Neurospora crassa OR74A: one gene and its partners. The protein of the gene in region 3 binds, or shares a complex with, the protein of the main gene of each other region. Links are inferred from orthologs where the notes say so. Each region holds a gene or a part of one and is shown on either strand. Other genes may lie near its edges.

Region 1 (10,290 bases), about 1.1 Mb from region 3:
AACAAACCTATGGCCGTCTCGAGTTTGGCTGGACATATGTTCTCCCCGGTCTTTGCCTGTGTCGCTTTGGCGAGAAGTGAATCTATGAGCCGTACAGGTTGGAAGTCGAAGTACCGCGCCTCTGTAAGTGGTGCACGGGCTAACACGGTAGATAGAATCTTTGCGGCGTCCTCAGCTCGTTCCATGTCCAAGTAGGTCCGGCAGAGTAAAGCAGATGCCTCCATCCAAGCCTCATTCAGGTTGTCCGGTGCTTGGTTCTGATTGGTCGCTTCAAAGACTAATGATGCGGCCTTTTCCATTTGTCCCAATTCTCTGGTTCTGCAAGCTTCCTGAACCATGGCGACAATCTGATCATTGCTGGGGAATGCGAGCGAGCTTCGTCCTCCCCCTTCGTTGTCTGCTTTCCTTGAAAACCTGTGATGGATATGTCGAGTTTGCGTGATTGACGTTCCTTCTACCGGTGGAATAAAGTGGTGCTGCCCTGTGAGGGTCCGCTTCTTGGGTGTAACCGACCTTGGTGTTTCTCTTCGGCTATGTCCACAAGGGTGTGACCCCGAATTATGTTCTCTCTGTGTTGTTATTGACTCATTGGCATCCTCGCCCCTTTGCAATCGTTCCAGTTCCGCGGCCCTAGCACTATCGTATTGTCGGATGATCTCTGTGGGTAGCGCAGCGTATGGCCCAGGAGCTAAGGGCGAGACGCCCGCATCCAGCAATGACTCTTCTTCCAGGGCCACAGCCAGAGCAGCGCCGCCCGTGTTGTAGTTCTTGGCTTGTCTGATGCGCTCTCCATTTTCAATTGCGGTCAAGGCGTTTCTGATTCGTCGTCGGCGATCTTCGGCAATGAGCGCGAGGGTGCAAGAGGTTCCCACGACAAGTCCTCGGAGGGCTGTCAAGGCAGCTTTGGAGGGGACAGGAAGTGGTGATGACATGGCCGCGGGTTTCCGTGTTCCATCTCGCTCATCAAATCATGGTCAAAAACGCCCTGTTCGAGTCGCGTGGGCGGTGGGCGTCGGGGGAGGGCCCTGGTGAGGAGGTAGAGAGGTAGGTGGTCGGAGGCCGAAGCTTGTCGTGAGCTCCGAACTCGAGCTTCCACTTGTGCGGGATGAGCTCAAAAATGTTTCACTTCCAAAAATCGATCCGCGCCGCGCCGCGGGAAACAAGCACTGGAAGGATCAAGTGGAAGCACGACCCGAACGCCTGAGCCCGCTAGCTACACTAGGAGTGGGCACTGTTGCACTGCAGCACCCCGCTAGCCGGGTGGGTCCACATCTTGGTACGCCCCGAGCGTCTCTCAATGCCGTGTTCTGTTGGACTTCGGTTCCTTGGCGAAGGAATCGCATCTGAATTTCAACGATGCCCGCAGAGCCTCCATCCGAGTCCCGGGGCCCAAGAGAATGACGGGCGTCTGAAGGCGCAACCTCCCGCCCGCCGTCCAGTTTGGGCAATCCGTTGGTATTTTGACATGATCTATCTCTCACATGTACAGCGTAACTGGACCCCAGGGCAAACACCCCCAATGACCTGAGCAGAGTATTCCAATGTTCCGTCCCAACGTGAAAAAAAGGCTCGGGTCTATGTCTATGTCGCTTATACTCATACAAATGCTCTGTGCTTCTCTATCCATCAATCCGACCATTCCCTGAACGCCTCTTTGAAATGTTCCCTTGCCGCCGTCTCCATCGCAGATACAATACAACCAACACGTCTAGAAAGTGGTATACAATAACGCTCATCTTGCGCTAAACAGAGATGCAGCATTAGGCCACCTCTGTACGTTCCTGTTCCCCGGGCATACGAGTCTCTAACTGACGCAGAATCGCCTGGTACAGGAACAGCATGCAGCCGCTTTGGATGCTGGTCCAGACTGCACGGGGCCCGACGCCTCTAAACCATCCGGCAATGCCCTCTGTCTGGTATATTATCCTCAACCCCGTGAATACCGAAGACGTGTCCAGGGTAACGGCTCCCGGTCGTGGCGTGTGAGTTGATGGTGACGATGTTGATATTAGTCTTTTCTGAAGCTTTTGTGTTGAGCTTTCCGTGGTGCCGGTCGGCTTGATGGTTCCGTCCTTCGTGGACGCTTGCGTTGTCGCTGAGCTGGTACCGATCGCCGGTGCTGTGGGATCCGGAACGACCTGGGTCTGAAGTCTGGTCTTGACAACATCGAGTGGGCACGTAATAGAACCAGCGAGACCTCCCGCCGCAGCACCCGTCAACAGTTCCAGCTGCCACCCAATGTCGCGGCTTCCCATCCACTTGTGCGCCCAGCTTTGAGCCTGCTCGTAGAACATGAACTGCAGGGCGGAAAAGGGCATGTCCCGATAAAGAGTCGCTTTGTACCCGTGGAAGAGGGCCGAGAATCCTTCTCTACGAACAATAGTCCTGGCGGCATCGGTCATGCCCTTGTAGTTGTATCCGGATGCGAAGTAAGGATTGTTGTAGCGGCCTTGAAGTTGAAGCCGGGTCTTGAGAACTTCCGAGGGTACGTAGACAACAGACGCGGCAAAGTCGCCGAGGAACCCTAACCGCAGCTCATGTCAGTAGGCGTAGGTAGCCTCTGCCTGTCAGATTTCCCCCTTCAACTTACCGCTGAGCAGGTAGGCGACATGGGGCTGAACACCATAGTCCAGCATGTGCCGCTTGCTATATTCGTAGGTGCCAAAGAACAAGACAGTTCCAGGAAATGACCCCAAAAGGGCGGGGAGCCAGCCGCCGTAGAGGCCCCGTCGAATGCCTTCTTGTCGGAAGATTGTGTAGTATGATGAGCCCAGCGAGGTGTATCTCGGCGGAATGTGCGGGTCGCCTTGTTGTCGAGTTTTTACCGTGTCGAGCGAGTGCATGAGCATGTCGCCACTTGTCCCTCCTAAGCCGCCTGCAAGCATGCACTACCGTATGGTGGTCAGCGACAGTCTAAGGTTTGGCGATAGTTGGCGCACAGAGTTTCACCACCCAGGACAAGACATGACATACTTGCAGCAAAGGCGGGCGCCTTTCGAAATCCCCATCGTCAGGAGTCATATTACGCGGTGAGTCCTTTTCGGTGATAGTCCCAAAGCCCTGTTGATGTGTAAGTCCATGGTCGGCGACGGCCGTGGGCGACAGCGAAGACGGTGACGACGACGGCGCAATAGTGGAAGTGGAAGTGGAAGTGGAAGCGGTAGGGTGCAGAGGGTGCGTACTGGCTGCCTCGAAGCCAAGCACCATCGCCCTTTTGGGAGGAGAAGGGAGGGCGAGGGAGTTCCGCCGCCTTAGGTGCGGGCAGCGATGGTCAATGGCGAACCCCCAAGTCTTTTGTAGAACCGCGGCGGGCAAGGGCGCGCAAGCTTCATGGGCTAACTGAGATATGGATGCGAGAAGATCCAAGTTTTGATAAATTTCGCGGCCGCCTTTGCGCCCTTGGGAATGCCAAGACTGGCTTATCCGGCCAAAGCGCCGCACCTTTTTTCGGGCGCACCGTCGGGTTGCAGGGTTCATGCAGCAATCGATGTGGCTCGTGCGTGTTGTTAACCCGCACGTAACCATCGGACCCCTCGAATATTCTGTACATCAGTCGACCTCTCGGCACCCCCCTGAGACAATAGTAAACAAACAGAGGCCTGTGGTCCAGCACTGAAACTGCTGATGTTTCCTCCTCTTTGTTTGACTGCCGCCACCCTTGTCGTTTCCCACCCGTGGTGTTTGTTGACGATGAGCATCTTATCTCGTCTACAAACCCACAAGGACTGTGTGTGCACCCAAGAAAGCAGCATGTGTGAATATGAACCATTCACGCAAACAAGGTGTGTATCGATTCGCAATGGCTCACTCCAGCAGATGGCGTGCCTTCTTGATCCCCGGTCGCAAGTTATGCTCCCACCACTTTACCCGCCCAAATCGATCCCACGGCGACAGAATATGCGTGACACGGCCGGTGACCAAGCACGCTGATATCGGGCCGTAGTAGTTGCTGTCCTTGGTCTTGTCGCCGTCTCCCTCTACCCAGATGTGCCCTTCTGGTACCTGGACGTATTCATGCGGGTAAGGCGCCTTGGTACGGATCACGTCGCCTGCTATTCCGACCACTCTTTTTACGACCTTTCCCTTTGGGTTCAGTGGGTTTCTGGGTTACAGTTAGTCGTCAGGTTCCCAACCAATGCCCCGAATGCGGCACGCCAGATGCTGTAGGATGAGATTTTGGATCTCACCTAAAGGTCACAATCATGCCGCGCTTGAGGTTCCGGTCCGGGTACCACTTAGAGACCAGTACGATGTCCCGACGTGTTGACTCATTGTAGTGCGGGTTGAAGAAAGGATACATGGACGGCCCCTTGATTTGTGTGATCTCGGCAACCCAGCCGTTGAAGACCACCAATGGAGGGATCCATGTTGCGTAGCGAATGAGGTAGTGTGAGAACTGACCGAGGAATCCGTTCCGAATTCCTGCTCCCCATCGCGCCGCCATCGCTATCCGACCAAGCGAGTTATCGAGCTACCGAAGATGTCAATGCGATGCAACTCTTTGCTGTGAATCGCAATGCTGCTGTGAAATAGAGGGCGTATGTTCGCCTCAACGTGCTCAGTGAGCAGGGCAGTGAGCAGTACGGAGCTTGTGTGTTAACATGGAGAAGACAATAATTGCAGCCACATGCCCGGGCAGGCGGCGATAAGAAAACGATGAGATCGCTTATCAGCCCCGGTAGCTGCATATCCTTGAACGCCTAGATCTACCTAGTTACAGCAAGTGCATCCATAAAATGACTATGTATCCATATCAAGTCTTGTGTTCATCAATCCTCGTCCCTCGCTCACATTCATTAGGCATACGCTTGATGCAATCTTTTGGTTGATTCCTCTACCGCCTGAAGGACTTTTGTATCCCCTAGACGCCAGCCCTGTGTCGCAAAAACTGTATACATGCATCCCTAAACCTTTCCTCAAAATAGTGTCGAGTATCCCAATGAGCCTGCAAAGATAGCTCCGTTTAAGAATGGCTGCAAAATGAAGAGGCGCTTTAGACGGTCTCGGGGATATTGTCGTCGGACTCGCTGACACTCTCGTCGCCGCTGACCTCAGCGTTCTCACGCTCACGCTTCTCCATAAGAGCTTGGAGCTCAGCATCATCGGACTCAGTGACAGCCTTGGGCTCCATCTTCACCACAAGGTGGCCACCAGCAGCCTCGATGCTGGTCCGCATGTCTTGAATGGCCTCCTGAAGGCGGGCAATACCGGCATTCTTGTCCAAGCAGGTGTTGGTAAGGCTGTGTATAGTTATTAGCTTCCACTCTGTCTTCAACATTGCAAGACTATTTCTGGCAAAGACTTACACATAAAGGGGAGGGGACACAAGTCTGCACTTGACCTGGGTTTCCTCAGTGTTGCGAGCCTCCGCAGTGCGGAGAGCGGTCTTGATAGCATCGATACCCTCGTAGCCGAAGCAAGTGACCTCAACATCGGCACGGACCTTGGTAGGCTGGGGAGTCAAACGCTTGCTGATGTAGGTCTTGAGCTCCTCGGCAACGGCCTCGGTGGGGAACTGGATGTCATTCCAGACGTCGGGGTTGCTTCACATCCATGTCAGCATCTTGTCCAATACCGCCATTTTGTCCCACAGCTGTACGCCTATTTCCCGGAATGACGTACGTGATCGAAAGCTTGAAGGCATCAAGCGAGTGGCCGTATTTCTTGTTGAGGGGCCATCCTATTGTCTCGTAAAGCTGCTCGATGGGAACAAGAGTCTTCTCGGCAACGTGGCGCATAATCGAGTGGACGATCTTGCTCTTGTTGTAACGCTCCTCGCAACGAACGATATCCTCGGGGGACACACGACGCTTGGACAAATCGATATAACCCTTCTCCTTGTCGACACGGAGAACGACGACGACCTCGTTGCGACCGACACGGATCAACTTCTGGATGGAACGAATACGTCTTCTGGAAAGCTCAGAGAGCAGGATCATGCCGTCGATGTTGTCGTACTCGAGAAGCTTGACGTAGGCGCCCATATCGGCAATCTAATCTGGGGGTCAGCTCTGACGCATCCACATGCGCATGCGCACCACCGGGACCCCAGTGTATCGTACTTGCTTAACATTGACCATAACGAACGAGTCGATTTCAGGATACTTCTCCTCATAGAAACGGCAGTTTGAGAGCGACATGTTGGCGACTGGTGCCTTTTCCCGGGCGGGGCAAACGGTGAAATAAGTGGTGGTGTTAGTGGTGTTGAAAGGGGGAGGGTAATGTCGGCGACGAGCTTCGCGACAATGGGCGAGATGGAATTCGAGTGGATGGTCTGGAGGGGTTGATGGCCGAGAAAGAAAATTGACCGAGTTTCGCTGCAAGTGGCCACAGCTGGGAAAGGTCCTCTGGAAGTTCGAGTTCTGGTTGCGGCAGCGGGTTCTCGGAGGGTCCAGCGAGGCTCAAAGGACTCACTCAAAGTTAGCCAGATGCGTCGCAGTATTTTTCGGGTACCAACCAAAAATTACGTGCAGACAGGCTGCAAAAGTGGCGTGGGCACTTTGGGAGGGAACGAAGTAGGCTGTGGCTGGTGCGCCGGATTGAGGGGTGAATTTCACGTTCTGACCGTGACGGCAAGTGAGACGCGGCTCCATCTTTTTTTTTTGAGGTGGGGTAAGTCGGGTACCTAGGTAAGGAAGCGCACAGCAGCCCAGGTGGGAACAACGGTACGCAAAGGCAGGTACCTGCTCTCGGTTAGGTACCTCTACTTACTCCACCTGCCCCGAACTCCACTGTGCCAAGCGCCAGCTCAGTGGGCAGGAACAACGACGTCAATCGTGAACCGACAGTGGGGTTAGTCACTGATAAGCCTGGAATCTTCCTTGGACATCGTCGAGCTAGGGAGCTTCAATCACTGAACCTTGCTTGTCCACCAACGGCGACTTGGAGATTCGACTTTTGCACGGCACCCAAACGAATCCCGAGGGCCGACCAACACCCGACGACACTGGGCTCATCTAAACCCTCCGCACATGTCGTTACTTTTGGAGGAGCTCACCCGTTTCGCTTTTCTCGACGGTCTCCGTCTTGGGTGACAACACTTGGACCGATATGAAAAAGAACAGAGCGACGACACCGCAGACCAGGTAGTAAGAGTTGGGTTTCAACCACAGGCACATCGGGGAGGGGACAGCTCATAGGTCTTGATCAGGTTGCGACGGTACTTTTGGGGTTCAGACACGCTGATCGATCGAACACCAACTATTCTTCACGACCATCCCCACGACGACGGCGCGACACTACCGCGATACCTACAACCCTATAAAAAAAAGGAAACACAAAAACAAAAACATACATACACACTCTCTTCTTTCTGTCAGAACCGATCTACACGACGGGCTCGCCCGGTAACTCTTGGCTTGCTTGCTTGGTGCTTCAGGCTTCTGAAAATGGAGTCTCTTAGCAACCTCGGCAACGCCATGAGCTCGGTGCTTTCCGAGACAACGTCCACGACTGCGACGGCAATCCTCGCCGATCCTACAGAAGCCCTCTCGTCTGTCGTCGCTCTCGCCAGCGATGCGGTCTCGAAAGCTACTAGCGATGTGGTTCCCGAACACACCCCGACTTCATGGTTCACCATCATCCTCTGGCTGTTGCACCGCATCTCGAGTGTGCTATACTTTGTCATCAAGCTGACCACCATCACTACACCCACCTTTCTGTTCAACATCTTTTCGACTAGTCTGACGGTGACCATGAACGCCACTACGCTGTAAGTCATCCGCCAGCCGCATTTTGTATACATGGACTCAAGGCTGGTGGATCTAACCGTCGGTATGCTTAGTGTGCTTATTATGTTGTTCATGATGGCAGGAGTGACCTGGGTAGTCAGATATCGCTACTTAAACATGTACTCACGGCTTCCTCCTGAGCCCCAGCGCAAAGAGCCAGCTGTTGATCTGTTCCCCGAAACACAGGAGGAAGGAGTAAAGTCTGGGCTAGCTAGCTACTTTGACGAGTTTCTCAGCGCCATCAAAATCTTTGGTTATCTGGAAAGGCCGGTTTTCCATGAACTGACCCGCAGCATGCAAACGAGGAAGCTGATCGCTGGCGAAACCCTCAACCTCGAAGAAGAGCAAGGATTCTGTCTTGTGGTCGACGGTATGGTGGAGATCTTTGTTAAATCCGCCAGAGATGGTCGACGCTCAAGCAGTGGCCCTTCGTTCGAGAGCGACGATGAGGAAGGCTTTGCTCCGGGTCGCCAGCGCTACCAGCTTCTGACCGAAGTGCGGAACGGTGCCCCCATGTCATCACTGTTCTCTATCATGTCACTCTTCACTGAAGATATCCAAATGCATGACACCGACGACGACGACAGCCCCGACCCAACGCCTTCCGCTCCTGGCACCGCTATGCCTGGTTATCCTATGAACGCCAACTTCCAGCAGTCGAACGATACCCTCCCGTCCATCCCAGGTACCCCATTGTCCGACAACCACGTTATGCAACGTGGGATGGCTTCGGCTGAGTCTCTAACAATGTCTCCCCTAGCTCATGATTCTTCGAGGATACCATCACTTTCTCTCGTGAACACTCGTCCTGCTGTACCCCGCCGGCCGGTACCGAAGAGGCTCAATACCACTTCAGCCCATCCAGATATTATTGCGAGAGCGACAGTGGACACTACCATAGCCATTATCCCCGCCAGCGCCTTCAGGCGTCTGATCAAGATATATCCCAAGGCCACTGCGCACATCGTTCATGTCATCCTTTCGAGGTTTCAAAGAGTGACACTTGCCACTGCTTACAACTACCTTGGCTTGAGCGGCGAAGTATTGCAGATGGAGCGCAACATCTTGAAGCATACAGTTCGGCAACTCCCTAATCATCTCAGAGGAGACGCTTTGGATAGACTCAAGGAAAAGTTCAAGCGGGAAAGGGAAAGAATTGGAGAGAAGGAGGTCGAAAAGGGCATTGCTCTTCACAATGCGCATGCCGCCCGCCGACGTCGTTCGGCTGCCTCCCTTCGGAAAGAAGTGGCATTGCAGGCATATTCGAAAAGGCGGCAGAGCATCGTCACGGCGACCCCTGCATTCGGAACACGTCGAGAACGCCCATCGCCCGACATGCCTAGCCCCGGCGACTTGCTCACGAATACGCAACAGTTGAAGTCTGGGCCGGCATCGCAGCTTGATCTAGCGCGAGACGCTACATCTCCTCGACCACAGCGAAATCTCAGTCCCTTCTCTACTCCTCGAAACGCACATGTCTCTCTTGACACGAGGGAAGCCCTTGATGAAGACGACATGTTCCGAGAGTCGGTGCTCGAATGCATGTTCAGGGCCATTGGCCTGACCGGTAACGGAAGTGTCAATCCGGATTCGACGCAAGCTTCCCCAAGATTTGTTCCTACGGACCAGCGACGTTCGAGGGGTGGTCCCGGCCACACTGCTTTTGGCTTCATGGATGCCTTCGACCCGTTCGACAACGACACGGAGTCAGTTACCTCTTGTGGATTTAGCTCATCGTCACCAGTTCCCAATCCTCAACTACTCGCACACGATATGAAGGACGAGGTTGAGATCGTCTTCTTTCCTAAGGGCTCTGTCTTGGTGGAGCAAGGTGAGAGAAATCCTGGTCTCTATTATGTTATTGATGGTTTCCTCGACATTTGTGTTCCGGGCGACGATTCATCACACGACCTCCTCCAGTCCTCAGCCAAGGTAGACCATGGCCATGACTCAGCAACTGGTGCCGACGCCTTTGGGGCCAATTCGTCACGCTTTCCTGAACCGAACATGAACAACAACTTTGGTGCTGAGCAGAAGAAAGGCAAACAAGGTCGAAGGAGCGTGGCTCTGATCAAACCGGGTGGACTTGCTGGTTATGTTGGTACCATTTCCTCCTACAGATCGTTTATCGATGTTGTTGCGAGAACGGATGTCTGTGTCGGCTTTCTTCCACTTGCCTCTATTGACAGGATCGTTGACCGTTATCCCATCGTTATGCTTACTATGGCCAAGCGGCTTACGGAGTTACTGCCGCGTCTGCTTCTGCACATCGACTTTGCCCTCGAGTGGGTGCAGGTCAACTCTGGCCAGGTTTTGTTCCGCGAAGGTGATGAGAGCGAAGCAATTTACCTTGTCCTCAATGGCCGGTTAAGACTGGTTGAAGATCAAAAAGATGGGGGGATGAACGTCAAAGCTGAATTCGGCCAGGGAGAGAGTATCGGAGAGCTGGAAGTGCTGACCGAATCCGCACGTACCGGAACTCTACACGCAATTCGCGAAACTGAACTGGTCAAATTTCCTCGCACGCTTTTCAACAGTTTAGCCCAGGAACATCCCAACA
Region 2 (10,221 bases), on a different chromosome or scaffold from region 3:
ACGTCAAACAAGACCGACACAGCAACAAACACTGCGAATTGGGATGAACCAAAGATGAACCACCGCAAGCACAACGCACAAGCATTACCACCACCATCAACAGCCATTTACATGAATTTCCACAAGCATAACCAAACAATGACACTAACTCACTCCCTCCAGATCTCCCCCCCGTCAAGCCCTCGGCCATTGCCCTCGGCACCATCTTCAACCATGCCACCGAGCTGGCCATCATGACCCCCCTCTTCGGCCAGACCTACCAGCGCGCCAAGATCTCCAACAGCAAGGAGGAGTTCATCAAGTCGCGCGAGGCCACCTCGGCCGTCATGGCCTGGGGCTCTTCCCTCGTCGGCTCTGCCCTGCAGTCGTACGGCATTGGCGCTCTCATCAACGCCACCGGCACCCTCAGCTACCGCGGCGCCGCCTACCTCGGCGGTCTCATCTTCGCTGCCACCTCTGCTCCCGGTTTCATCTCTGAGTTCTTCGTTGAGAAGCGCGCCTTTGAGACTGTCGGCATCAACGTCCTCGCTAAGCTGTTTGAGACTGTCGGCCTTTCCGTCTTCCTTACCTGGTGGGGAACGCGCACCAACCCTTTTGAGTAGTGGGTCACCCTATTGTAAAAGAACCTATCTACTACGGTATATCCTGTGGGAACAGTCTGCTGACATGGTTGAAACAGCGCCTCTGCTACCTCCGGATCGCCTACTCTCGGCCGGACAAGCTGGCGTGCCGAGTAAAGGGTCCTTTTTTGAGTAAGAGGAACTCTGGTATGGTTTAATGAAGTTAATGATAATGGGGAACTTGAGTATCGCACCTACAATTTGGAGTGTGGGCGTGTTCCTGGGCATTTCCTGTTTTTTTTCTTGGTACCCTCTGTATTGTATCAAGCTATTAGCATAGTATCAGCATTCCTGAGATGAATGGAAGACGCTGGCGATAACTCACTATTTGGCTCGTGTGCTTGTTGTCTGCTGGTGACCAGGAGTTGTCTTGCATCTGATTGAGTGTTGCGATGGTAGTTGGCCATGTCGATGTTGTGTTGTGTGTCGTGACATAGGCCAGAAGTACAGCCCGCGGCATTCGACCCAAAGACGCTTGAACATATACGAACTGGAAAATGAGAACTGATGAACTTGGTATTCCTTTCTCATATATACCGTACAAAATACAAGTGTTTACCCCGCAACGCCTTCCATATTTTAATGACAGCAAGTAGCCAGCGCCATAAATCCATAACCGAAACCAGGATAGACTAAAACCGTCAACCCATCAATGCTCTCTATCTATAGCTTAGATAAAAGCCCAGAACAACCAAGCCAGCCCATGGGAGCCGACCGGATGTGGTCAATGCGGAAGAGATGATGACCGATATCCGACAATCTTTTCGTGATGAGAGCGAGAGGTGGGAGGAGCCCGAAGCGGAGACAGAAATCGACATCGAGGGAAGAAAAGAGTGATAGAGGTTGTGATTAAGGCGTCACAAACTTGTTCCTCCTTCATCTGTTCCCCAAGCCCAGGCAAAAGTCCATCGAATAACAGTCTTTGCGCTCCCCGCCAGCGTCCAATCTCCAAGATGATCGGTCGCCTGTTTTCTTCTCTCTCAACGGTAAGACGGTCCGATTGTCTGAGCAAAAAGCACGTACGCACACGAACACTCTTGCAACAAGCAGACGCACAATCACACCGGCACCTGCAATAGTGTCATGGTCTCATGTGCTCCCGCTGTCGCCATCATGTCGTTGCAGCCTTTCATCTTTTGTGTGTTTTGTTTCGCTCGAGTCATTGCTCCCGCCAATTTAGGCAGTGCCCTTGACCTTGGCCTCGATCTGGAGCGGGTGAGTACCCTTGACCCAGGGCTCGACCTGGACGTTCCACTGTTTTTGCGCCGTCTTGACCAGCTCCTTGTAGGCCTCGAGGTACTCGGCAGGGTCGACCTTGTCGCCCTCCTCCTTGCCAGAGGACTTCTTGCCCTCGGGCTTGAGCATCACCACCGAGGTGGCGCGCTTGGTGCAGGCGGCAACGCCGAGGTCGGCGCGCGAGCGAATGTACAGGTAGGGAACGCCGTGCTCCTCGCACAGAATGGGGAAGTGCATGATCACGTCCATGGGCGAGATGTCGCCGGCGATGATGACGAGGCCGGGAGCGTCGGCGGGAGGGGAGGCGGCGGTCCGGAGGGGGCACTTCTTGATGGCCTTCTCGCACTCTTTTACGCCGCGGTGGATGGACTTGAGCTTGGCGCCTGTTTGTTTTTTTTAATCAAAAGTTAGCTTGGGTTCAGTACAAGTCGTGCGTGGGCTGCGATTGAGGAGCCTGGCAATGCAATTGGAGAGTAGTCACAAAACGTACCCTTCTTGATCAACTTGTAAATCTTCTTGTGGGTCTTGTCGTCGGCGAGGGGAAGGGCAAAGGGGACGAGGTCCTCGGCGGTCTTGACGACATCCTCAGGGTCGACGGAACCCTCCTTCTCGAGGTGAGCCTCGACGGCCTTGGCGAGCTTCTCGGTCTTCTCCTTCTTCTCCTTCTTGTCCTTCTTCTCCTTCTTGACACCGGCCTCCTCGCTCATCTTCTTCTCCTTCTTGTCCTTCTTCTCGGACTTGTCCTTCTTCTCCTTGATCTTGTCGGTGGCACCCATCTTGTCGGATTAAATGTGTGTGTGTGTTGTTGTTGGTGGTGGTGGTTGGGTGTGTGTAGATAAAGTTGGTGGTGGAGGGGGATGGGGTATCAAACAGGAATTAAAGAATGGTTATACAGACAACCACTGCAGTAAAGAGAAAAAAAAGTTACTGGGTTGGGGCGTCAAGGTATTTGGTATCGTGATGGGGCGGTTGATCGCAGAAATGGATTCTTCAACGCAGATTTTACTGGGTCCATCAAGTGACCCAGTCAATCAAAGCAGAGCGACGCGACCAAAAATTTGTAGGCCAATTGTAAAGCCGTTCCGCCCGGGGGCCGATAATGCAGGTGAGCGCCTGGAATTGGGTGCGATAAGAGGGACCAATTTTCCGATAAGCACGCGATAAGAGGAAATGTCTTAAACTTCCACCTTTTGCTTGGTGGGGCTTTCCATTCAGTACGACAGGGATTAGTAGTAGTCTTGAACTTAAACAAGGCCTGCTTCTAGCCTGCCGCAAACTGGCAAACAGCGGCAGTGCTTTGTCCTTGAAGGCCGGTTGCTTGCCTGCCCCACTAAATTTCTAGAGCTTGTGATACCTACCTCCAAGCGCATTCAGTGTGAGCCATTGACTCACCTCGACAATTCACTGGCAAAAAGTCCACAATCCCAAGCGACATTGGCCCAGTTCTGGAAGCTATTGTTGGAGAACCTTTTTGCGACCAGCAGCCTTGTCATTCCCCCCCGCCTATATCGATTTCATAGATATCCGTCCAGTACCATTCGTAAAGACCATACAGCCTCGAGCAGGGAACAGTCGCACTCTCACTTCGACATCACCTCCACAATACCTCAGTAGCACACAGAGTACTATACACAGCTCATCGCCATGGCGTCGTCGCAAATGAGCTATGCCCCCACGTTGGGCAAGCTCCTCAAGTCTCTCAACACTCAGCCCTTGGAGGCTTCTATCGAGGCTCTTATTTAGTACGCCTACGCCTGCTTCATATCTATCTTATATCAGATCCTAACATGGTTGGGCAGCCTCCTAAAACGTCGCCAAGTCAAGGGCGATGATGTCGCCAATGCCACAGCCCATATGCTGCTCCAGGTCGTCGCCAAGTCTAAGTGGCAGAACGTCGATCAGCTGCTCGCAAAGGTCTCCAACACCGGCCACAGACTTGCCCAAGCTGCTCCCACTGAGCAAGTCATCGGCAACGTTGTCCGCCGAGTAATGGGTCTTATTCGTGATGAGGCTTCCGAGGACAGAAATGCCGACGAGATGGGCGACTCAGTATCCGACCTCTCCCAGCTGCCCACAACGCCCACCATTTCCACAAGGCCAGGCCCCACGCCCCTCCGCGCCGCGACTCTCCCCATGTCCAAGTCCATGTTCAACCTTCTCTGCGTCTCAGAGACCGCACAGTCACCAGTTACCGGCGCATCTACCCCCATGTCCCAGGGCGCATCTGCCAACATGCATGCCCTACGGTCCGAAGTTATCGATGGCATCGAAGAGATTATGGACGAGATCAGCCAGGCGGACGACCAGATTGCGGGTTTCGCGGACATCCAGATTCACCCCGGCGATTACGTGCTCGCCTACCTCCCCTCCCCAACAGTCGAGAGATTCCTCCTCAAAGCCGCAGCAAAGAGGAGGTTTACCGTGTTCATCGCCAGCGCTGAGCGTCAAAAACCCGGCGAGGTGCCCCATGCTGCCCTACGGAAGAAGCTCAACGGTCTCGGGGTCAACGCCATCAGCCTGGCTAGCAACGGCTTGATGGCCTATATGCCTAGGGTGAACAAGGTCGTTATCAGCGCCAAGGCCGTATATGCGAACGGCGGTATTTCCACAGAGAGTGGGTGCAGTACTGCTGCTAGGGCAGCGCAGGAGTACTCCAAGCCCGTTATCGTTCTAAGCGGTGTTTACAAGTTCTGCCCCGTAGATCCGTCGGACGATGGGACCGAGTTCGAGCAGGGAGATTCTTCGACGTATGTCGACTATGCCGACGGTGAGGCCGTCGATGCCCTCGAGGTAGAGAACATCGTGGGCGAGTACCTGCCACCCCAATACGTCGATGTATACCTAACAAACCTGTAAGCCCTGAACCCATAATTTTGATGACTGAAGAACCCCAACACTAACAACTTTACAGTGGCCCCCAAACACGAGATCATCTTGCCACCATCATGGCCGACCATTACAAGCTCGAAGATATGGGCTTGTCTTTGCATCTGCCTTAGAAGCCGAAGAGAAAAAAATGAAGAAAATAAAAAGACGCGGTTAATAATGTATCATGCTGCCGGTCCAATGCAATACTCGTTCAAATACCTCTCGACTGTTCCTGGTTCAACCTGGCCGACCAATATGCGTTCCGAAAATACAACATCGTGCGTTGCATATATGTCAACTGAAGAGTCATATCTGTACCCATAAACTTGTTTGTTCCTTATCATCGTGCATATTTCGGTAGTCCCGATGGCGAGGTTTTGCGGATTCACCGGACTCAGTAGCTTTGGACGCTGGCAGAGGCTTCGACGGGCATGGTTAGATGGGGTGAAGGGACAAGATGTGTCGCTTTTTCTTGCTGGGCCGCCATCGAACTTAAGGATCTAGATGAGTGCAGTACAGCATCACGTAAGGATATCGTATATAAGCAGGAATCGGGGCCTCCGCTGCGGACATCGGATGCTGTTATGTCGGACTTCATCTGCGCGCCGAAATATATTTCCCTGGAAAATACATCTCCCTGCACAGGGAGTCTGACAGATACTTAAACTTGCCCATCCATTCTCTTTCCACTCGAATTAATTCCCTCTCTTTTTCTCGTCATCCGTCTACGTACTCGGTTCCTCGCTCCTTAGGTCATTTATCCACGTAAATCAATACATCAACGGCTTGTCCTTACTTCACGATCCTTCAGACACCGATACTTGTCTATCGCGTCCCTTTCTTCGAGCGGGAGTCATTCTCCGTCTTCTCCAGCTCCTTTTTCATACCATCCACGTGACTGTTTGGGGCTACATCCTCACGGTCTACGCTCGAACGGCCTACACACGTACGGTCTATATACCTACACTACACACAACCACTGTTCAAGACTCCTACAGTGCAAATCCCCACGGGTCATTACCTCCGATCATGATCCCATAGTCTATCCATCTACGACCTACATACCTACCTACGATCCGTACACCGACGGTCCAAAAACCCACGACCATCGTCCACATAGCTCAACCCGTTACCTCCTCGGGGAATCCGCTCCAACCTCAAATCATACGCTCGCTCGGCCGGATCGCGATAATCCAACCAGTCAAAGTCAACTACCACCAAAATGTCACACGCACGCTCCTCGTTTTTATTTCAAGTCCTCTCCCTTTCCACCGACACCCCCACGACTTCTTTCACTAGCCCCCCGCAAGAACAACCTGCCACCGCTGCCGCCGCATATCCTCCTCTCGGCTCTCCGAGAAGTGCACCCACAGACTGGCCCGACGAAGCGGAGGAGATAATCTGCTACTACAAAAAGATGCGCGAAGAAGGCAACTCACCCCTCCTTGACCCCGCGAGGGTACCTGATGATGTTTATATGGGTATGGAGGAGGACATCAAGAACCGGCGCCTTTTGAATAAATGGAAGAAGAGAAGAGATCTCGACGATTTTAGGAAGTTTGTTATGGATTACTTTGGGATTGTTGAAGAGAGAGAGGAAGAAGAAGAAGAAGAAGGACTCGAGGAAGAAGAAGAGGAGGACGATGAAAAGGACCTTGAAGAATACGAAGACCTCGAAGATGACCTTGAAGAAGACCTCTCGGACCTCGAAGACCTTGAAGAATACGAAGACCTCGAAGACGACCTTGAAGAAGACCCCTCGGACCTCGAAGACGACCTTGAAGAAGACCTCTCGGACCTCGAAGAAGACCTCTCGGGCCTCGAAGAAGACCTCTCGGGCCTCGAAGAAGACCTCTCGGGCCTCGAAGAAGACCTCTCGGACCTCGAAGACGACCTTGAAGAAGACCTCTCGGACCTCGAAGACGACCTTGAAGAAGACCTCTCGGACCTCGAAGACCTTGAAGACGAACACCTCGAGGAAAAAGATGACTCAGAAGACGACTGGGACCCCATCTCAGACCTGGAAGATTTCTCATTCTATAATGACGAGGAACACGATGACGAGGAACACGATGACGAGGAACACGATGACGAAGAACACGATGACGAAGAACACGATGACGAGGAATACAATAACGAAGAACACGATGACGAAGAACACAATAACGAAGAACACGATGACGAAGAACACGATGCCGATGAACACGATTACTACAGCGATATTATTGAGGGGCTCTCCGACTACGAGCTTCACATCCGCAACATCATCCTATACTTGCACTTGAGAAGCCACGTCGAGCCATTACCCTGGCGTACCCTCCGCTCCATGGCCGAGCTGCACGCCAGCCTGCTTGGCGACATACGAGATGCCTATCATGCCAGACAACAACAACAACAACAACAACAACAACAACAACAACAACAACAACAACAACAACAACAACAACAACGGGACCGCCTTTACAGGTCAAACGCCGAACCAGGCGCAGCAGAGATCATACGGCGGGCGGCAATAGCAACGGCGTCAAATGCGGAATCTATGCGCTTGTTACGGGACTACCGTGCTCGTCTCCGCGCTGAATTGCAAGAGGCTTGTCGGGCTAGGGAGGTCAGGCGAAGTCTGGCAAGGATGTCAGAGGCAGCAATAGTAGCAGACTTGGCAGCATTGAACGGCTGGTAGTGATAGAAGCAGCAGTAGGTAGGGAAGTGTGGGGAGCTTTTTTTTTTTTTTTTTGTGGTGTTGGGTATATACTTGCTTTAAAAGAGAAGTTATGATAGCGAAATGGAGCAGATTGAGTGATTGTTGCTTTTGACTTACTTTGTGTTTCGGCAATTACTTGTAAGAAAAAAAAACTGTGGTAATGATTCCGACTTTCCGAGATCGACGAGAGCATAGGTAAATGTTGACGAGTCTAGTGCGTCTTGTAGCTGTTACCTTTGCATTTCGAGTTTATATAGATACCTCCGATATGTTGCTCCTCGTCGCAAAGTTCGTAGTGTGGATCGATCTGTCTTGTGTTGTGGACATTCTCAAAGATGTATTCCGAGTACTCAGCTTGAATACTTGCAGACAAAGAGTGCTACCGAAAATCATTTGAACTGTATCTTATGTACTAATAATCTCTATTGACTTTTACACACCTATTGCTTCTGCTCGTATTGCTGACCAGGAACAGGGAAGCGGAAGGCGCACTTGAAGGGCCACATCTGAGCCTATATTATATCATTTATAATTCGCATTAGCATCCACACCTGAACCTTTGACGCATCACGTTCCTCCAAGACTGTCGAGACTTCTACTACGTAGCTTTCTAAAAGGCAGCAGAATGAACTGAGGACAGGGGAAGAAAGCTTACGTTGTCAACGTCCCAAACGCCCTTTTGGGCATACACATCGTCCTTGAGGATCTTGATCACCTCCTCGCGGCTCTCGGCGACTAGGACAATGGTGCTGCCGGCGAACTTGAAGGTCTTGGGGTCGTCGGAGGTAGGGGGCTCGGAGAGAACGGCGCCTTTTGAGTATGTTAGCACTCGTCTCTATTGATACAAGGGAAGGGTTCATGTGTGTGTAAGACGAGAGCATGTGTATGAGATCAAGCAGGTGCAGAGTTATCAAGAACCCCCCCAGAGCTGGGGAGTGGTGCACTGTTGAAGGTATTCTAAGGTGAAGTGAAAGTCAAACGAGACGGAGTGAAGTGATGTAAAGTATAACTTGAGAAAAAGACCTACCGCCCATCTGGAAACACCCATTATCGACGTTCTTGCCGAGACCGGCAAAGTGATCACTATATCCCCAACACATTCAGTCAGTAACCTCTTCGCACTCATTCTCTACCTACTGTAATCAAACAGATGAGTGCAAACTCACGGGCGAACCTCCAACCTCTTCTCGCCAACGCCCTCAAAGTCCGGCACGACAACGAGCCACTCAATCTTCTTTCCGGCGGTGGTAGTAGAGGTAGAGGTAGCCATTGTTCGGATATGATGATGTCTCTGACTAAAGAAGAAGTTGTTGGAGATGCGGGGTGATGATGATTCGGGGTTCGTGACGGTAGTTGAAGAAGAGTTGAAGAATGATAACGTGGAGGAGAAAAAGAAAGATGATGATGGGCGGCGGCTAAAGCGGCTGTTCAAGTTGCTGTGGAGAGCTTGTCCGAGTTGGAGGGTGCGAGATCGGGAGGAGGAGGCCATAGTTATGGTCTGACTTTAGAGATAAGTGAGTGTACTGGAATCAAGGACGGATACGTTCGGTACAAAAGTTGCGTGCGTTGCGAAAGAAAAAAAAAGGAGGGGTTACTGTACTAGCTAGGTAGGTATACGGGATAATACCCGAGCTAAATGTTACAGTGTCTCAACGAAGGAAGCCGAAGAGGTTGGCTTTTGTTTACTTTTGGCTGCTAGTTGCACTGCCACGGAGTACAATCTGGTGCTAGTTTGTTTGTTAGCTCGGTACCCAGGGGTATTTCTGCGAAATTGGATGAGATCCGATCTGAATTGTCTCACACCAATCAACAAGGTTCAATGTGTTATATTCTATCTGAAAATAAGCATATTCGTATCCAAATTCCACTTTCGTCGAATGATGCCACAAATCAACTAAATATAGTACGTCTAAGGAAGTTGATACTAGGTCTCGAGCTAACAGTCTAACCAGTATTGAACTGTATCCTCCGGGGTAATCCGGAGATGGTGGGTCTAGCGTAGCGTGGGTTTAATGTGGCCGTAGAGGTACCTATCTGCGCTACGAACGACATGTCCAGACATCACAGTTCGGACAACAATTACACAGAAGATTGTTTAACTGGCACTTTAACTTCTTTTTCATCATTCGTAAAGCAGCTTCTAGACGTATCCGTTCTTTTTCCAGCTCTGGCGTTTCAACTCGGCTTGAGATCATACCATGGCCGTTCCCCCCACCCCAGTTTACTTCCAAGCACTAAGTATGTACTCGTCCACCCTAATTGACAATGAGCACCGCACTGGGAACCAACCCAGCCTCCTTCAGCGTCTGGCCAAAGTCCACTCCGGCTTGCCACGTCTTCCGGGGGAACGTCGTAGAGAAGCTCGCAACCGGGACTCCGTTCTCCGACTCCAACTGCTGAGCAAGCTCAAACAGCGTGGCATCCGCAGCCAGTGTCTTCATAACATTTCCCTTGGCAGTTTGCAACCTCAGACGAGCCTCATTGTGGGAGGCAGCCGGCTTCGAAGCAGCCGGCGCAGCGGCGGCGGCAGCAGGCGCGGTTGAGGGAGCGGCCGGAGCTCTACCCTCGCGAAGCGCCTTTGCTTCCTCCTCCTTGCGCCTCCTCTCGGCCTTGTCGGCTTCGATCTTGGCCTTGATGCGTTTCTTGGCCTCGATGTCGTCGAGCTTCTCTTGACGCTTGCGGGCAGCCTCCTTCATTTGCTCTTTACGCGCCAGCTCCTCCTTCATGTCTTGTGATTCCTTGGTAGCCTTGCGCTTGATTTGCTATACATATTTGTTAGCATGCTTGGAATGCGGC
Region 3 (9,882 bases):
GGCCTGCCTGACCCCGCAAGCAAAAACGCCCCCCCCTTTTCAAGGGAGAACTAAGAAAACTAGGATGTCTGTGATGCGTTGGGTATTGTTCCAAGAACAACACCCAGGCCAGTCGCCTACCGTGATGGAGGGGCGGCTTTGTCAAGCAACCAGCGGGTCTGGAAGCCACGAGGTCGAAAAGCCGGGCTAGACCTTGGCGGCTTCCGGGCCCGAAGTGATGAGTGGGTGGGATGGCCATAATGAAATCATTATCGGGAAGATTCCAGTCGAAGACGAGGAGGAAAAGTGTGAATGAGCGATGAGCGCCTATAGCAAGCCATGCGTTCTTGGCTTAGATATATGCCCACCTCAAGGAAGCCTGTCTCATGACCACCGAGGGGTATCTAGCTGGCTGTGGGGGCTTTGCGTTGCTGGAGTTGATATCCATAAACTTGGATCAACTCCTGGAACAAGTCGCACAAGATCTTCTCTCCCGTCACTCCCTCACTCACTCCACCCGTCCCCCTTCTCCAAGTCTGTTGTGAGAGTCTCTGTCGGTCTTTCCTCCATAACCCCATTCCTTGTCGCATATACAACATGTCGTCTTCAGTCAGCAGCAGCCATGGAGGGCAAGCTACCCTCATAGACGGAAGGCCACCAAGCCCAGCCATGTCGACGACCACCACTCTCTCACCACCCAGCCCAGTCATTGGAGGGGGAGGGGGAGGAAAACATGATCACCACCCAAGCATCATCTCACATGATGCAATGGCAGACGTCAAGTCCAAGATTGAGAAGCTCGCCAAAGAGCTAAAGCAGCAGCAGCAGCAGCAGCAGCAATGCCGTCAGCAGTCAAGCAACAACAACACTCGTCCAATACTCCCCCATTTGAACACCGATAGCATCATCACCGCCACCACAGCCAAGAAAATAAACTTGACTAGACCTGTACTATCCCCTTTCTCTCGAGCCAAAAGCCACCAGCTCCAGCAACACGGCCATCAACCATCCACTCCCGGCCCCGTCATCCCAGGCCTCGAACCCGCCTCCCGCTCTCTCTCCGATCTTCACAACGAACGCTCCTACCTCTTGCATAACTTGCAAACCCAAGGCGAGCGAGCCACGCGTTTGTATCAGCGGTATGCCCATCTCGAGGCTAAAAAGGAGGCTTTGGCCTCTGCCACCTCTCCCTCAGACGGAAACAACGCCACTGCTTCTTCAGTTGGCAGCAAGAAGAAGAAGATCAAAAAGGACCTCTCCCTCCTCCGCAGCCGGATCGCCGAGTCCACGCAGCAGGAACAGCTGATCATGTTAAGGCTGGGCGAGATCCATGTGGAGTTGGTGAATAGGGGAAGGTGGGTTATGACGCACCAGCATCAGTATCAGCACCAGCATCAGATGGTGTATTCGCCAATGTCCGCTGTGATGGAAGGTCAGCAGGGGTATTTCGGTCATCATCAGTGGCATCAGCAGCAGAACCATGGTGGTGGTGGTGGTATCCCGGCGACACCATCCTCCGCCGACACCTATTCCGTCTCGCCTGTGGGAGGGGATGAGTACCTTTACACCCCCTCGGTCTTGAGTCCGCTTTCTCCTTCCTTTGTGCCTGGTGGAGGTGTTAGTTTCTTTGAAGATATCTGGACTCGACCATCCCAAAACTCACAAGACCACTTTACCTGTCCGGAAGAAACCCTGGCCCCTGCCCCAGGCCCCGAGCAAGAACATGAACACCATCACCCAACCGAGGGACAAGAAGAAGAGGAAGAAGAAGAAGAAGAAGAAGAAGAAGACGACCAAACACCCAAACCCAAAACTTCTTTCCAAGACCTCCCTCTAGACTCCCCAGCAGTTCCTCTCTCGGCAGTCACTCCCAAGTTCAGCACCACCACCAGCACCATCAGTACCGTCAGTACACTACCCTCCGAACACCTCGCCACCCCCATCACCCCTAGCAGAATCCCATGGGACGAATACCCGTCCGACTCTGAAGATGACGGGTCATTTGAGAGTTTTGATGCGAGCAGTTTTACGCCTATCGGCGTGACGACTATGAATCCACTGACTTGTGACGATTCTTTGGACAATGGCTCTGGCTCGGGCTTGGGCTCGGGCTCGGGCTCAGGGTCTGGGGTGATGATTTCTGAACCGGAGGAAAACCATGATGAGGAACATGAAAAAGAAGGTGAAGCAGAAGAAGACGAAGAAGATGGGGAAAGTGACGAATCCGCTTCCGAACCAGGGGATTTGCTTTCTGAGCAACAAAGAAGGACTGCTTCGTTCTCACGGGGTGGTGATGGCTGGACTAAGGGGAAGAACAACAACAACAAGCACAGGAGGCTGAGCATGCCTAGCTTGAAGAACCTGTGGCCTGCTGCGCTCGCGGCTGTTGGTGTTCAAATGGGGTTGGAGGAAGAGGAGGATGTGCCGGAGTTGAAGCTTGATACTGTTATCTAGCCTGTTCCTGGTTTTTTTTTTTTGGTTCTCGAGGTTTTCAAGTGGGCTCTTTCTTGCACTCTATGGTGGAAAGTTGGCAGCGGAGTTTGTGGCACTGGCGGACACTTTGTTAAGATGTGAAAGAGGACAAATCAAGTTCCCTATGTAGGCGTTATCTGGGAGGGTCAAGGATATATGCTTGAGTGTTGTATCTTGGAACTTACTTACTGGCTGTATTGGGCATTGCGCCAAGGAGCTTTGGGATACAGTCAACATTTTCTGTCCGAACAAAAACATCAAAATGGCGGGAAACAGGGAACGAAACGAGCCGGAAGGTTGTTTATGATTAGGTATATTAGCTCTGTATAGTTGTGTAAGCTTGTAGACAAGTCCTTTTGCCACTTTGATATCGTATGGCCGTTTCTTGTCCGTCTTATCTGCCAATGTCGCTTTCCGCGTCCCTGATCCGTAAATATCCTGTATGATGTTGATGATGATGATGATGGTATATGCGCCGTACATCTTGCTTGCTTGCTGACTTCTCTAAGCCAACCCCAGCCAGAATTGCCGTTCCGGTTTCCTTCATTTTCCTTCCTGACTTTATTCCCTATTCAAACATGCCGTTCGGTCCATCATCGAACCCTAACTCCTGCGCAGATGGTTGTCTCCTGTGCGCAGCACGTCCACTGCTAGGCGGAGGCGGCAAGAAAGGCATTCCTAACCCGCCGCCACCTCCAGTCGACGATGGAGGAGGAGGGAGCGAAAAGGCCGACAAAGGAGGCTGTGAATTGCTGTCCAGGTCCGTCGACAAGGGGCGATCCTGCCTTGCTCTCCTCCCAAACTTGGTCCCGCTCAAGTTCACCGTGATCGTTTCGCCCTCCTTCAAGCTATAATCCTTCTTCTCCTCGGCCTCCTGTTTCTTGCTTGACTTGATCAGGGGCGCCACGCCCTCGATGAGGCCCAGCGACTTTTGCGCCTCCTGCAGGGCCACGCCAAAGTCGAAAGACTCGCTGCGCTCCTCGAAGCCGACGCCGAGCATGGCCTTCTTGCCGGTGGTGGGATCCTGCACGCGCAGGGCAAAGAAGCGGCTGCTGTCGATGGTGGCCTCGACGACGGCCTGGGTGGTGTAGGGGGCGGCGGCGATCAGGTCGTTTGTGGCAGGGTCCTCGAGCACAATGTCGACCTTGACCGTGTCCTTCTCTCCAATCTGCTCGGGCGTCTGCGGCGGGATCGAGGTCTCGATGATGCGCACGCGGCCGGTGAAGATGTGCGCCTTGGGGTCGGCGGTCCAGTCGGCGGCCATGTGGCCCTTGGTCGAGCGCATAGGGGGGATCTGGTAGATGTGGACCGAGGAGGAGGTGATGTGGAGGATGCGCTGGATGGCATCGGCCGGGAGGGGGGCCTGCGTGGCCGGGTCTATGAGGGTCGTCATGATGTGTGTTGTGTTATGGTGGTGGTGGTGGTGGTCACGGTCGTAATGGTGTTTCTGTCCTTGTGATTTGCTTGCTAGCGTACCTAGTCCCTATGTCGGCAACTTATAGTCGACGCTCAACAGGAAGCCAGGGGGGGAAGAAGAAGAAGAAGAAGAAGAGACTGAAGCCAACATCGCCAACCAACGGGTCCATACACCTAGGTAGTTTCAAATGCCCGATGAAGAAAGAGACAATGACGGTAAAGGGTCCTCCGCTACTGTAGAAACCCCTAAGTTAGCTTCACATTCCCCTTGCTGCCCCTGTTCCATGGAAGCGGACGGCGGGGCGGAAGCCACAGGAAGTACCTAACAGTGGTAGCAGCGCAGATGCCAGGGGCAGCCTGGAGTAGAAAGGATCCACGCAGCCCCAGGGGGGACCCTCAGTGTTTCGACCCTGTAAAGAGCCCCCGAAAGGTCCGTGAGGTGACTGGTGGGCGGCGGTGACAAGCCGCAACACCTGGCATGGAAATCACCCAGGGCAGCAACAACCCCGCTAGGTAGTAGTGTACACTAGCAGCTGCCGATAGCGGGGCACATACCTAGCGGGCATGAAATGGAAACAAAGAATGGCCGGAGAGCTTCGTTGACGTGCAGTAGGTACACTCAGTAGTAGGTACGCATTGAGGACGGTGAGTGGCGGCAGAATACTTCAAAGGGCCGCCCGCACTTGGGAATTTGGGATGAAGAAGGTTACATGTACAGCTAGTAGAGGTAGGTACGCATCTTGAGTCACACTTTCAGATCAGACCAGACGCACGCTTCTTCAGAAAACGCTGCATTTTATCGACTCTGCATACCACAAACCAGATCATTGTCGCAATACATAAACCTGTACGATTTGACAAAGCCAAAACCTGCCTGCCTGCTCCAAGTCTCCCAAGTGACTAAAACACCCCGAACCCTCCCCACTTGGATCGACCGCCGCAACAGTGCTTCCTCCCGGGAGGACTTGTATGTTTTGGCAACGAAAACCACTTCCCACACCTTCACAATATCAACACACTTTGTCGTCTTCTCCAACAACCCCCATAGAAACATGGCCACCGACGACCTATCCAACAAGCCGCTCGCGGTACGGACGACATCGTCCACCTCCACTGATGGCGCCTCGTTCGAGTGAGTTTGCTTTGGCGTAATTACCACACGCGTCATAACCAAACCGCGCTGAACCCTTTCGTCGCATTGCTTGCCTCTGACCAAGACAAACAAACAGCATCGTCAAAACCTACCGCGACCTCCTCACCTCCGACCCCGACATGACTATGCCCGTAGCAGCCATCGAATCGCTCATCGAGCTCTTGCGCGTCACCCCTTCCTCAACAGCCATGGAAACCGTCGAGGTCGTCAAGACCCAAAAGGCCCTCCTCCTCGACTCGGCCCCGAACCCTCTCCCTCTGCTAGCCGGCGCCGACCTCTTCGAGCAGTACCTTCTCCGGTCGCTTAGAGGGCAGACCGCCGAGTCCTTCGACGAGACGAAGCGCCACCTGCTCAACAACCGCCAGCTCTTTGCCGCCCGCGCCAAGGCCGCCCGCGACAACATTGCCGTCATCGGTTCCCGCTACATGTCGCACCGCAAGATCGTCCTGGCCGCCGGCGGTTCGCGGGTGGTGACCAAGATCCTGGTGCACGCCGCCACGACCCGGACCAACACGCACTTCAAGGTCATTTACGTCATGGACGGCAGTCCGCACTGCGACGCCAGCGTCTCGGCCCTGCGCGACGCCGGCCTGGAGGTGGAGACCATCTCGACCTCCAAGGTGGCCTACGTCCTCAAGGACCAAAAGGACATCAACATCGTCCTCGTCGGCAGCGAGGTCGTCATGCAAAACGGCGGCATCATCTCGCGCATGGGCACTTCGCAGCTTGCTCTGCTCACGCGCTTCGCGGGCGGCTCGCAGAAGCGCTTCTTGGTTGCTGCGGAAAGTCACAAGATTGTGCGCAAGACGCCCCTCTGGCACCCACAGGTGTTGAGGGTCGGCGTCAAGCAGAAGGATATCAGCAAGTTTGACAACGTGGGCGTTGACCCTGTAGGCCAAGAGGCGAGGGATTGGGTGGCGGATCGCGATGAGGTGGATTATACCGATCCGGAGCTGATTGATGGCATTGTGACGGAGCAGGGAGTGAAGCAGCCGAGTCAGATTTGGGAGTTGGTTGATTATGAGAAGTGAGGGGGGTCTTGCTGCCCGATACTGAAGGTGAAAGGTGTTGAAAAGCGTGGGTAACAAAAGGGCGGTTTTATGAATGGATGGATGGATGGATGGAACTGCTTGATCATTTTCAAGTTATCGGTGTGGTTACTGTGGTAAATATCCTTGCAGCATTATTAGGCGTTTTTAACGGGAAATGGGATAGGTACCTGATATCCTTTGGAGGTTTGGTTGATGAAAGAGTCTCTTTTCTCACTTGCTTGGCCTGTGAAGGAAAACAAAGTACGTGCTAAAGTTAAACCAGGGATGCCTGATCGAGTGGAGTGACATATGAAACCACCCCATTCATATACATGTAGTTGACCGAAATTTCATAACCAAGAAAAAGATACCCATCTGAGTACTAACCAAGACTGCGCTATTCACGTCGTCTTCACTTTCCAACCAGCCATAGTCCACCACCCATTACACATACAAACACAACGACTCACAAATCCCTAACAACTCTCGCCCCCACCCAAGCATAAGGATAATTCCTCTGGTACCAATTCACAAAGCTCTTCCTCCCCGCAATCCTCGGATGCGTAGCCCAGCTCCCTCCCAGCACAATGTTGTGCTTCTCATCGAAAAAATCCGCCGTATAGCCGGGGTACAGCTCCATCGGCTCGAACCCCTCCCACTTGCGGAGGACCGATGAAGTCCATTCCCACACGCCGCCGAGCTCGCCTTGCCCGACAAGGGTGTTGCCTTTGGAGGTGATGGGCATAGGGTGCCAGTTGTGAAAACCGACATTGGCACCGTCTAGGTCAGAGAAGAGGTCTTCGGTGGTGATGAGGGTGGTGTTGCTGTCGGAGGGGGAGGAAGACTCGGCGGGGGTCTCGGAAGAGGGAGAGGATGGGGGAGTGATTTCCACGCCGTTGTTGGTTAGGTGGCTGTTTATCAATGGGAAAGATATTGTTAGTGCGAGCTGGACACGGGAGAGTAAGTCGAAGGGACATACGCATTAACAGCCGGAACCGTCCTTCCCAATTGTCTCTCAGCTTCCTTCTTCTTCTTGAGAGCATCGGCGTAAGCGTAAATGCTCCGGGTCTCTTCGAAGGTGGGAATACGGCCGCCCATGTAAGCTGCGCAACCGGCAAGTTCGTCGTAAGAGGCAAACACGGGCCAGTCGAGAGCGTGCTTGAGAGGCACGAGACCGTAGACTGTGCGGACTGCTGTCTTCTCGAGGAAAGATGAAGGGAGCTGCTGCTTGGAGGTTCTGTTGCTGTGGTGACCGCTCACGCTGTTTGTTGTTCCATTGCTAATGTTCTCGTTGTCCAGGCGGGCCCAAGAGGCAGGGAGCTTGTCGATGTTCTTTTCAAGCAGATATTGCGCGTACTGGTTGTTGTTAGTATCGTGCAATAATAGTTGCTAGGCAAACGTACCTCTTCGTTGGTGATCGGCCTCCCTTGAGCCTGAAAGGCAGCAACTTGAACGCGCCTTGGAGGCTTCTCGTTGTCCCTATTTGCAAGTTAATCCACCGTCGACTTTGACGGAAAAAAGGTCCACTTACCAGCCATAATGCTTGTTGATATCAGATCCATCCTCAGGATCATCCAAACCGATGGTGATCTCCTGTGCCGGAATCTTAAACCACTGATTGGGAACCCTCTCGGACTCTGCCTTCCTCGCGAGCTTGTCAAAGTCGGGCCGTGGAATATGGGTTGGGATCAGCGTCTTGTCGCTCTGTAGCATCATGTACAACAGCGTCTCGATATGCATAAGCTCGTGCTCAAACCCAACCCAAATGGCCCGACCCACATTCCGCGGAATATTCGCGATGCCATGCGCATAGAGGCCGCGTAACCGGGACCGTACCGTCTCCTGGTAGGTCAGGATTTCTTCCACCGGCGGCCATTCATCAGGAATCTCCGAGTGCGCATGACACAGCTCCGGGTTGTCGACATCAGGATCAATGCCTCGCTCGAAGATCTTGCAAAAGTGAGCGGGCTCTGACGGAGCCTGCTTGGTGGTCTTTGTGAGCTGGATGTCGAGGAAGGTCGGGATGTGACCGAGGTAAAAGATGCAGGCGTTTCGGAGCTTGATGGGCTTCTCCAGAAGCTCTTCCTGGGGAAGCATCTGACGTGTGACGACATCCCATGTCGCCCAAAGGGCCTCCCAGTCGTCCAGAGTTGGGAGTGCGCTGCGAGCGTACACCGAAGGGATGAGACTGAAAGACATCCTTGACTTGGCAAGCAGATGGAGTCCTGCAGTACGACGGAGGGATGTCAGCATGTGTCAATGGTTTTGACGGCGCAAATATTCGAGCCTCCCCAGCCCGTGCGCGCTACCCGAACACTGCAGCCCAACACCAGCCTACACATTGGTAAACTTGTGCCAGTGTAGGAGCTGTGCCCATCAGGAGACACCGCAACATCATATCATCATACGACTGGTCCGTAGGGTGTGGGGAAGGTGTGGTAACACCAGCCGGACGGCTCAAACGGGTAGTCTCAGAAAAAGCTGGAAACCTCAAGCAAGGAAAAGCTGTGAAAGCAACTTACCATATTCGTTGCCGTACGTCCATTCCGAGACTTGTTCCAATCCCGCCGTGCTCCAGAGCCTCTCTGACTCCTCTTTCGAGTACTTTAGGCTCTGTTCGATCTGGATCCTGTCGTGTGACCTAATCAACTCCCCCATAACCATGGTGTCGCGAGTGGGGGCGTAAAAGGCCTGGTGTCTGCCGCCCTCTTCGTCATACACATATTCGCCAATGACTCTCCAATCGCCCTCGATGAAGGCCGTCTCTCCGATAATTTCATTGGCGTTGCGAAGACCATTCAAGATGAACCTGAATCATCAGTATCAGTAATGGGCTGGAAAGCGGGAGCCGCCATGAGCGACAGAAAAAGGGGTATGACATACTCGTGAGTAATACCAACCTTGTCTGTTTGGTTATTGTCAGCTTGAAGGTGGTCTTATACCATGTCACATGAGTAAGCACAAACCGTTGTAAGCGTGGCTAGTATATGGTTAGCAATGTTCCTGATGACGTCCCAAGATGTTTGTCGAACACGTACTATACCCTCGCCGGGTCATTGCAAGCGTCAACCCCAATGAGCATCTTGTCATTGGGTCCAAGGACGTCCGTAAAGCCCTTGAGAAAGGTAGCGGCGTCACTGCGGTTAAAGTTGCCTAGAGACACGATCATGTCAGGATTTTCTTTGACCAATTCAATACGTATTCAAGCTTACCAATGCTTGACCCGAGGTGCAAGATGCATTTCTGTTTATTGATGTTCTCTGGGGCCTTGAGCCAGTCACGTCCATCGTCATATGTACCCAGAAGACCGTGGCACTTGACGTGCTTGTAGGATGGTACCTGAGCGAGAGTGCGCTCCAGCTCCTCCCGAGACAGGTCAAGGGCATAATAGTCAATTGCCTTGCCGGCGTTGTCTAGGGCTTCCAATAGAAGGTTTACTTTGCGCAGATTTCTGGGGATATGGTCAGCTCTTCGAAATCCAGGACCCCATTGTCGAATTGTCAGATGTTTACCCGCTTCCGAGCTCAATGATCATGGCACCTGACGGGATGAAGCTAGCCATTTCGGTCGCATGTTTGGTGAGGATTTTGATCTCGTCATTGGTAAGATAGTACTCTTCAAGGTATGTGATCTGATAAGGGTCAGTATGAACCAGCATGTCAGTCCCACAACTTGGATAAACTTACACGCTCGAACAGCTGCAGGCCTCTCTCGTTGTAGAGAAGCAAGGTGGGTAGCTGTCTAGGGCCATCTTTAGGTCGGAACATGGAGGTTATCTCGGTCTTGAGGTTGATCTCTACAGCAACGCGGCGGATGTCGATGATATCGGCG

What was found. Proteins that work in one complex are often made in the same cells at the same time.
Region 1: the proteins of NCU04344 (region 3) and NCU08277 are in contact, whole or in part, in a cryo-EM structure (PDB 6I3M), measured with the Saccharomyces cerevisiae proteins. The link is inferred for Neurospora crassa OR74A from reciprocal best matches to the Saccharomyces cerevisiae genes GCN3 and SUI2. Residues at the interface, in NP_012951.1 of Saccharomyces cerevisiae: Pro39, Glu40, Thr41, Ala42, Ala43, Glu44, Ile46, Asn47, Lys50, Met74, Leu78, Leu81, His82, Tyr84, Asp86, Trp87, Arg238, Asp305; in NP_012540.3 of Saccharomyces cerevisiae: Glu29, Met30, Tyr33, Met45, Leu47, Leu48, Ser49, Glu50, Arg53, Arg55, Ile56, Arg57, Ser58, Lys61, Arg75, Asp77, Tyr82, Ile83, Asp84, Arg88.
Region 2: the proteins of NCU04344 (region 3) and NCU08952 are in contact, whole or in part, in a cryo-EM structure (PDB 6QG2), measured with the Saccharomyces cerevisiae proteins. The link is inferred for Neurospora crassa OR74A from reciprocal best matches to the Saccharomyces cerevisiae genes GCN3 and GCD7. Residues at the interface, in NP_012951.1 of Saccharomyces cerevisiae: Phe76, Arg79, His82, Leu83, Tyr84, His93, Asn97, Leu100, Ile115, Asp118, Phe119, Ile120, Ala121, His221, Arg224, Glu278, Thr281, Ala282, Gly288, Val289, Leu290, Thr291, Pro292, Ser293, Ala294, Ser296, Glu297, Glu298, Lys301, Met302; in NP_013394.1 of Saccharomyces cerevisiae: Val113, Pro116, Ser119, Ser120, Met121, Phe122, Leu125, Gln126, Lys127, Val267, Asn268, Glu283, Arg286, Arg289, Tyr305, Phe307, Asp308, Lys311, Pro343, Glu344, Asn345, Pro358, Ser359, Phe360, Tyr362, Arg363, Trp366, His375.

What each region holds. Positions count from the first base shown.
Region 1 is NC_026504.1:2,565,491-2,575,780, forward strand, and holds NCU08277 (eukaryotic translation initiation factor 2 alpha subunit), read right to left. Parts: upstream 6,578-10,290; 5' UTR 6,141-6,577; coding exon 6,063-6,140; intron 5,994-6,062; coding exon 5,623-5,993; intron 5,544-5,622; coding exon 5,307-5,543; intron 5,241-5,306; coding exon 4,994-5,240; 3' UTR 4,603-4,993; downstream 1-4,602. Other genes in the region: NCU08279 (hypothetical protein), read right to left, coding at 1-932; NCU08278 (mitochondrial carrier protein), read right to left, coding at 1,761-2,524, 2,591-2,849; NCU16791 (mitochondrial inner membrane protease subunit 2), read right to left, coding at 3,805-4,102, 4,188-4,444; NCU08276 (hypothetical protein), read left to right, coding at 7,389-7,711, 7,784-10,290. UniProt on the Saccharomyces cerevisiae protein: eIF-2 functions in the early steps of protein synthesis by forming a ternary complex with GTP and initiator tRNA. This complex binds to a 40S ribosomal subunit, followed by mRNA binding to form a 43S pre-initiation complex.
Region 2 is NC_026505.1:5,797,810-5,808,030, forward strand, and holds NCU08952 (translation regulator GCD7), read left to right. Parts: upstream 1-3,165; 5' UTR 3,166-3,500; coding exon 3,501-3,598; intron 3,599-3,655; coding exon 3,656-4,708; intron 4,709-4,767; coding exon 4,768-4,855; 3' UTR 4,856-5,515; downstream 5,516-10,221. Other genes in the region: NCU08949 (hypothetical protein), read left to right, coding at 163-601, 680-737; NCU08951 (ribosome biogenesis protein Nhp2), read right to left, coding at 1,797-2,239, 2,347-2,632; NCU08953 (hypothetical protein), read left to right, coding at 5,947-7,404; NCU08954 (hypothetical protein), read right to left, coding at 7,866-7,937, 8,081-8,235, 8,453-8,508, 8,592-8,914; NCU08955 (UBX domain-containing protein, variant), read right to left, coding at 9,681-10,187. UniProt on the Saccharomyces cerevisiae protein: Acts as a component of the translation initiation factor 2B (eIF2B) complex, which catalyzes the exchange of GDP for GTP on the eukaryotic initiation factor 2 (eIF2) complex gamma subunit.
Region 3 is NC_026504.1:3,700,923-3,710,804, forward strand, and holds NCU04344 (translation initiation factor eIF-2B alpha subunit), read left to right. Parts: upstream 1-4,601; 5' UTR 4,602-4,919; coding exon 4,920-4,999; intron 5,000-5,096; coding exon 5,097-6,051; 3' UTR 6,052-6,431; downstream 6,432-9,882. Other genes in the region: NCU04346 (hypothetical protein), read left to right, coding at 577-2,433; NCU04345 (adaptin ear-binding coat-associated protein 2), read right to left, coding at 3,020-3,844; egt-1 (DUF323 domain-containing protein), read right to left, coding at 6,518-6,962, 7,031-7,407, 7,455-7,530, 7,583-8,276, 8,574-8,860, 8,935-8,956, 9,018-9,031, 9,090-9,204 and 3 more. UniProt on the Saccharomyces cerevisiae protein: Acts as a component of the translation initiation factor 2B (eIF2B) complex, which catalyzes the exchange of GDP for GTP on the eukaryotic initiation factor 2 (eIF2) complex gamma subunit.